Caenorhabditis elegans: one gene and its partner. The protein of the gene in region 2 interacts with the protein of the main gene of each other region in a biochemical or structural test. Each region holds a gene or a part of one and is shown on either strand. Other genes may lie near its edges.

Region 1 (3,600 bases), on a different chromosome or scaffold from region 2:
TCCAGCTTTGACCACCAACTTGTATCCTCCGATGGATTGTTCTTCTTCAGAGTTGTTTGCAACACGGACCCACTTTCCTTCCTCATCAACCTCGTCGATTCCAACTGGGCCAACAGTCTCTTTGTTGAGTTTGGAGCGACGGTTGAGATAATCAATGTCTTGGTCCTCTCCATTTACATCGACAACGCGACGACGCTTCACTCCGCGCTGAGCGCTTGCTCCTCCGGATGAAAACGAGACGTGATGAACTGAAGTGTTTTGTGGCGCCTCCTGAGTAAGATTGAGACGCTCCTCCTCACCCTCAAGGAGAGCTTGGTAGGTCTTGAGTTCGGCGTCCAATTGGATTTTAACATCAAGAAGATCGTGGAACTCGCTCATCATGCGCTCGATCTCTTGATTAAGTTCAGCAATTCGAGCATCCTTGTCGTCGAGCTTCTCTTGGAACGATCTCTTCAGAGTGTCGAGCTCTGAACGAAGACGTTCGATGAGCGAAGCATTTCCACTGCTTGATGTCTCCAAGTCACGAACACGGGCACGAAGATGGATTGCTTCGGATACAGCCTCCTCTTGGCGTTCACGAGCAGCATTGAGCTTGTTTTTGTAGGCATCTTCGAAAGCTGTTTTGTTTTGATGCAAATTGTTCTTGAACTGAGCACGCATCTCTTCGATTTGATCTTGAAGCTTAGATTGATACTCATCATTAATCTGCTTGGCGTAGGTTGTCATGTCGACCTGTCTCTTGTGACGAACTTCTTCAAGTTCTCCCTTGTGCTGTTGAAGAGCAAAAGCGAGATCTTCTTCCAGAGCCTTGATTTTATTGTTGGCGGCTGTTCGGAGAAGAGTTTCATCTTCAACGGCTTTCTTGAGTCCTTCTACGGTGTCACGAAGAGTGATGTTCTGCTTTTTGAGATCCTGAAAACAACAAAATTGAACATTTACTTTTGATAAAATTAAAATTTCTTACATCATTCTCCACCACCAATTTATCGTTGCGTGCCTGCAACGTCTTCTGTTTTGCTTGACTTTGATCAGCAATAGATTGGGCATGGAGGGCTTGTTCCTCAGCTCCAGCGAGTTCTCTCTCAAGTTTTTCGACTTGTGGCTTCAACTTCTTTACTTCAACCTTTGCAGCGTCATACTCGATCCTGTATTTTGCGAGCTCATCTTGAGCCGAATCGAGGGCACGACGGAGACGAGCCTGAAAATACAAATAATCTATATTCCAACACTTATCATTCGTCCAAAACGAGAGCTTATATTTGCATTGTTACTTTACCGCGGCGAGAATAATAAGACCACCGCATCAGTTTCCCACAGAACACCTTTGGCGATCAGAATATAAACAAAGTGTACCTTTTCCGCCTCGAAGCGATCGGCCAAGTTTGACTTCTCTTTCTTTTCAACAACTTCGATGTCGCGAATTTGAACCTGGAGTCTGTTGTTCTCTTGCTCCAATTGACGAACTTTCTGAAAAGTGTACTTTCAAATATGAATACTTTCCAAATTAAAACTCACGTCGATGTAAGTGGCAAGACGACTGTTGAGTGAAGTCAAATGATCTTTCTCTTGAAGACGTGAAGTTTCTAGAAGCGTTGAGCCACTGAAAAGCATTTCATCGAGTTTTTTTTTAGATAACACAAGAAATGCGTTTATGAGTGCAGGAACTAGAGAAGCAAAATAAAAACTCACAATGAATCGTCGCCTCCTCCATTGTTGCTTAGCGACGAATTCGCTGAGCGCTCTAGCGTAACAATACGAGAACTACGAGTACCTTTACGAGATGACATTTTTCTCGCTGCTTTCTGAAGAGTTAATTATATTGGATTTAGTTTCAGAAATAGACAAAGAGAGATGTAAGAGAAGAGAGGAAACGTCATAGGCGCCACACGAACGTGACTCAACATTTTGATATTTCTTGTGATAAAATTTTTATACAACAAAAGTTTTCTGTCTCAAAAGAAGTGTGGCAAACATGCGGACACGGCCGTTGTGTATACCACTTCGGAAAGCGTGTGTTTGTCGAAAAATCTGGCGCTGTTAGGTTATTTGCGAGTTACGGCGCGCCAAGTGACCTCAAAATCGGCAGATGGCAGTATTCCACATAGATGTGTGTTGTTTCGTTTTTTAAATGTTTCAACAGAAAGAAATATAGTAGAGAAATAAGGAACATTTGTGAGAGTGACGTAAACAAAAGCATAAACATAGTCAGTAAGTAGCGTTGAATTCAAACATTAGGCAACTCGGCAAAGAACTACAATTGTCAAGGTATACTCAACTAAGATTTACCTCGTTTCAATAGTTTTTTGAAACTCTCGTGAATAAGAATGCTTTAGCAGGGCGTTATCACCTCGCCTTCAAAAATCATCTGCGCACTTCCACAAATTGCCGATAGAACTAGGCAGATGGGACTGAAATGATTAGAGAAAAAGAGAGAAAAGGGAATTTCTCGCATACTTGTTTGGTTTTGATTGACCGTCCATGTCGCGTCAATTTGAAAGTAACAAAATTTCGAAAATTTAGGGAGAATTTCGAAATTCGATCAATCAAAACTTTCGGACTACTACAAAAGAGAAATGACCTGATAAACTATAAGATAGGATATCAAATTACACAAATTAGTGTAAAAAAGTTGCATGAGAGGTGATATGTAGGAGTTTCGAGGGTTCAAAAACGATGAAAAACGCTCGATCTTGTTTCGAAGGGCAATGGCCCAGGCCAATGCTCTCTCTTTAGTCGCGCGAGTGAGCGCTGCGTACCCCTTCATCTCTGATCTCTCCCGTTTCGCGCACTATTTTCAAGTTTTTCTTTCGTTTTTTATGCTCACGGTCCCAATGACTAGAGAAGTAGAGAAGCAGGAAAGACGTGTGCATATGGTAAACAACATACATATACACAACTTGGCAACATGCCAGTACAGGGTTAAATAGAACGAATAATGGAGAGGCATGATGAGAGTATTAGAGAAGTGGTCAAACATCTGAAATTTTGAGGTTTTGCCGCTTTTTTATATGGATAGTGTAAATTTTGAAACTCGGCGATTAACAATAAACATGTACCATTGAAAGACATATTCAGAGCCAGATGAAGGAAGCGAGAAATCATAAGCAGTCTTGTGTGAGAGAAGACAATGTCGTTCTTCTTTGGTGTTTGACACAGAATGAATGAATTCTAGAGAAGGAGGCTGAGAAGAGAAGGAAACAACATCTGGAAAGAGCACTAGAGCGTCGACGCACAGAGACAAAGGGCAATAAATCAATGGGAGAGTGTCATTTTGGCGCGTTGACAGTTTTTATCTCATTTGATGTGACCATGTGGTAGAATATTAGTATAGCACGAAAATTAGAAGCTAAATTTCTATTATGAAGGCGAGATTAGCCGCGAGAGAGAAGTTTGGTGAAATGAAAAGAATACGAAATGAAAGAGTAGGAAAACAATTTTCTCTAGACACCTGCATCTCTAAAACACATTTGATCCCTAAAAAGATTGAAATGAAAAAACAAGAGAATCGATTAAATGTGAGAGGAACTTGGGCAAAACATGTCTCTTGGTAATATGCAGATTAACAATTGAGTATATAAAATTAGGGCTGTACAACCGGAC
Region 2 (3,956 bases):
TGAAACATGATACATATGCTGCTTAAATGCTGAGACTACCTGATTTTCATAACGAGACCGCTGAAAAAGTTTTGAGGTTTCCAAAATTCAACTTTTTTGGTGAAAAAGTCGAGATTTTCGCACAAAAAGTTGAATTTTGAAAACCTCAAAACTTTTTCAGCGGTCTCGTTATGAAAATCAGGTAATTTCAGCATCTAAGCATCATATGTATCATGTTTCAGAAAAAGTTTAGGTTTTGTATTCCCGTAATCCATCATATTACATTGACAACTTTCACCACTACTTGCCGACTGAATACATATTTTTTCATCTGGAAATTATTTTAGCATCTGCAAAAAATATTTATTCATCAGTTTTAATAAGAAAAAACGGGAAAAAACTGTGAAAAACGAAGGAAAACAGGCGGAAAGCAAAGCAAGATAAATGGCCGCTGAAACTTGTCGGCCCCTCGGCCTTGGCCTAGAAACCACTTTTCCTCGTCCCTCGTGAGGAAAAAGTTGCAGTGGTGAACTGCAAAACTTACAAATCCCCAGTGAAACGACTGGAAGAATCGCGTAATTGTAGAAGAAATTGAGCGAATCTCGGCCGGCCGCCTTCAAAACTCCCCAATAACCCGAGAAATCCGCAGTTTTCGGGCGATGCGTTGTTGTCAGCGCGTAGGCGATTCCAAGCACGACGAACAAAATTAAAATCACATAGAGCGCGAAATAAATCGCCTCGTTGAAAATATTCGTCTGCTTCACAGTCACCTTCCCGGTTCTCGGATTCTTCTGCACACGGATTCTGGAGGCACCGGCGCGAAGATCATAGCTGTCTCCTGGATTCTTGGACGCATCGAAACCATAGCCGAGCACCTTGTTCCACGCGTTCTTCACAATGCCCCGCCGCGAGGGTTCTTCTGTCTTGTAGATGATTCTACTCGTCTCTTGACCTTCAAACTCGTCATCATCATCCTCTTCTCCGGTAGTGTTTCCCAAGTCGTGAAGAACTTTGGACACTTTCGACGTGTAAATCGATTTTCTTGGCGGTGTAGCGCCGGGGCGATCGCTTCCGAATGTGGAGAAGCTTGGCGTGAAGTCTGTGATCAACCCGGGCACTGAGGTAATCCTCCGGGGAGTTGATGGAATGCGAGTAGTAGTTGTGTTGATAGTGGTTTTGCTTGATGATGAAGTAGTTCTTGGAGTATTCTTTGGGACTGGAGATGGCTTGTAAACTGGAGAAAGTCTCTTGTTAGGCGTCGAAGAAACCGGGCGGCCGCGTCCAACACTGCTCGCCGTTGAGTTGGCGCTTCTGAACGAAGATTGCTTGGATTTCGGCGAGAGAATCTCCTCATCGTCATCGTCGTCGTCTCGCATATCATCGTCCGAATCGCTCATTTCCTCGATTTCCGATCGATTAAACGTGGAATTTATCGTGCTATTGGCGGCGGTCGCGGCAGCACGTGGAATTGAGCGTCTGGCCGGCGGCGATTTTGGGGATTTTGGAGCTGGAGCGGATTTTGGAGTTGGTTTTGGTGCTGGTTTGGCGACGGTAGGACGAGCAGGAGTCTGAAAATTTAATTATAAAAAAAAAATCTAAAGTATTCTAAATCCTTTTAAAATACCTTTGCTCCACCGGAAAGCAACTTCTTCAGCTTCTTCTCGTACAGCGAACGAGTCGTTCCAGTTACCGGGCCAACATTCGCCCCGCGAACGTTCAACTCGGCGCGGAGCTCTGCATCCGACATTTTCTCAACGTCGACCATTCTCTGAAAGTAAAAAATAATTAAAAAATCTTATAAGAACGCGAAAAAATGAAGAAAAACGAAGGAAATCGTCAATTTTCGAAGGTTGTGAAATTTGAACCAAATGCGGCGGGAAATGTCAGTGGAGCGCGCTTGCGAGGAGGCGGTGCGGGATGAACACCACCATGGACGCAAAAACTACAGAATATCTCACCGGAAATTAAGATTTACTTCTAAAAAACTAAACTTTTAAAAAAGAAATTGTTATTTTAATTTTTAATAAAACCAAAATAAACCTAAAATGTGCTAAAACAAAAAACTTTGCCTGCGGATTCTGTTTCTTCAAAAACTTCGTGGTGTCGCAAGTTCGTGGTGTCTCTCGAAAATAAATTCTGATATTCGGAATTTCCGCGGAGGAAATCCTCTGCGAGTCTCGATTTTTCAGGTTTTTCCTTGAATATTCAGGGTAAATTCATCAAATTTTTAAAAAAATCGATAAATTTTGCTCAGTAAAATTGAGTAAAAACCTTTTATTGAATGAAAAATTTTTAAAAATTACAACAAAAAAAATTATTTAAGCTCAGTGCAGTTGCCCGATGAGCTGAAAGCCAAGTAATTCAGCTTTGCAATGCTATGAATCAGCCTGGAAGATTCGATTTCTCGTGATTTCGGTCGTTTTCTGAAATTTCTTTGTGCTTTCCGAGGTATTTCTCGATTTCTCACGTTGTACCGACGCCTGAGAAACTTGAAAAACGACGCAAAGGAACTTGAAAAAGTTCTCAATATTGTGAAAAACGTCGCGTTTTCCGCTTTCCGAAGAAGCTTCAACAAGCAGAAAAAAGGCGAGAAATAGCACAAATAAGGTCTTCATGATACGAATTTCAGAGTTGTGAATGAATGAATGAAAATGAATGAAAAATTGAAAATATGTGTGTGTGTGAGTTACTGATAAGTAAGCTTGAACACTGAAAAAACAAAAAAAAGGCGAAAAACAGTATTAATCGGCGTCTTCGTCAGTCTCGTCACCCTCATAAAATGCTTCGTAGCGTTCGTCGTTCAGGTCCATGCTGAAAAATGATAGAATTTTCAGAATTTCCATCTAAAAATTGAAAACCGCCACATTTTATCACCAAAAAGTTGTACTTTTCAGAATTTTTCAGGTTGAAATAGCTAATTTTCAAGTTTTTAATAATTAAATTGATGAAAATTACTTGAAAGTTAGTAAAAATAAGCGATTTTAGTCGGAATTTTCAAAAAATTGGAGGAAAACCGGGGTTTTGTGGCCGAATTTTCAAACTTTCACATGTAAATTTTCAATTTTTAGCATCAAAATTGGCAAAATCAGTTGAAATTTGCGCAATTTAATGGAAAAACTAGATCAAAACCGCATTATTTCCAGAGAAATGAGCTATTTTAGTGGGAAAATTGAATTTTTAGCCGATTTTTAAGAAATTGACAGGGAGAAATAGCTAATTTCAACTAAAAATTTTCAGGTTTCAACCACAAATTCACTACATTTAGCTGAAATTTGAGAACTTTAATGGAAAAACTACATCAAAGCCGCATTTTTTCCAGAGAAATGAGCGATTTTAGTGGAGAAATAGGATTTTTAGAGACGATTTTCCAGAAATTTACAGTGAAAAATAGATAATTTCAGCTAAATTTTCAGGTTTCAACTACAAATTATGGAAAAATACATCAAAGCCGCTTTTTTTTCCAGAGAAATGAGCAATTTTAACCGGAATTTTCGAGTTTTTCGCAAAAAAAAAAAAGGAAAATAGAATTTTTAGCCGATTTTTCAGAAATTTACGAGGAAAAATAGCTAAATTCAATACTTTTAGCTAAAATTTAAGCATTTTTGTGAAAATTGCCTCAATTTCCAGGTTTTAAGCCGTAATTTCAGCGCAATAATCCAATTTTACACACTTTTGAAGCCGTCTGTGGAAGCTTTCGTCGGAGTATGCCTCCTCGCCGGCGTGCCAATGGTCGGGCTCCGATATTCCGTACGGATCCCCATTGTCGCTGTCCTGAAAATCAACATTTTCATCTGGGGATTTGAAGATTTTCAATGGAAAATTCACAGAATTCAGCAGCTCCAACCTCATCATAGGATTCCTCATCGGGATAGTCATTCCGCCAGTTATCCTCATCATTCGAATCGTCTTCATCATCAGCCGGCGGCCCATCGGAGTCATCTTCGTCGCCCAAATCCAGCTCATCACGCTTGGCGAAC

What was found.
Region 1: the proteins of lem-2 (region 2) and lmn-1 interact in far-western blotting, tested with the Caenorhabditis elegans proteins (one study listed by BioGRID).

Annotation. Positions count from the first base shown.
Region 1 is NC_003279.8:8,761,243-8,764,842, reverse strand, and holds the start of lmn-1 (Lamin-1), read right to left. Parts: upstream 1,803-3,600; 5' UTR 1,788-1,802; coding exon 1,690-1,787; intron 1,601-1,689; coding exon 1,516-1,600; intron 1,468-1,515; coding exon 1,354-1,467; intron 1,199-1,353; coding exon 965-1,198; intron 913-964; coding exon 1-912. UniProt on the Caenorhabditis elegans protein: Major component of the nuclear lamina, a fibrous layer on the nucleoplasmic side of the inner nuclear membrane. Provides a framework for the nuclear envelope and probably also interacts with chromatin.
Region 2 is NC_003280.10:14,061,243-14,065,198, reverse strand, and holds the start of lem-2 (LEM protein 2), read right to left. Parts: upstream 1,750-3,956; 5' UTR 1,745-1,749; coding exon 1,604-1,744; intron 1,548-1,603; coding exon 524-1,547; intron 1-523. Other genes in the region: W01G7.4 (putative RNA polymerase II nuclear localization protein SLC7A6OS), read right to left, coding at 2,721-2,790, 3,650-3,750, 3,824-3,956. UniProt on the Caenorhabditis elegans protein: Nuclear lamina-associated inner nuclear membrane protein that is involved in cell division, nuclear structure organization, maintenance of nuclear envelope integrity and nuclear envelope reformation after mitosis.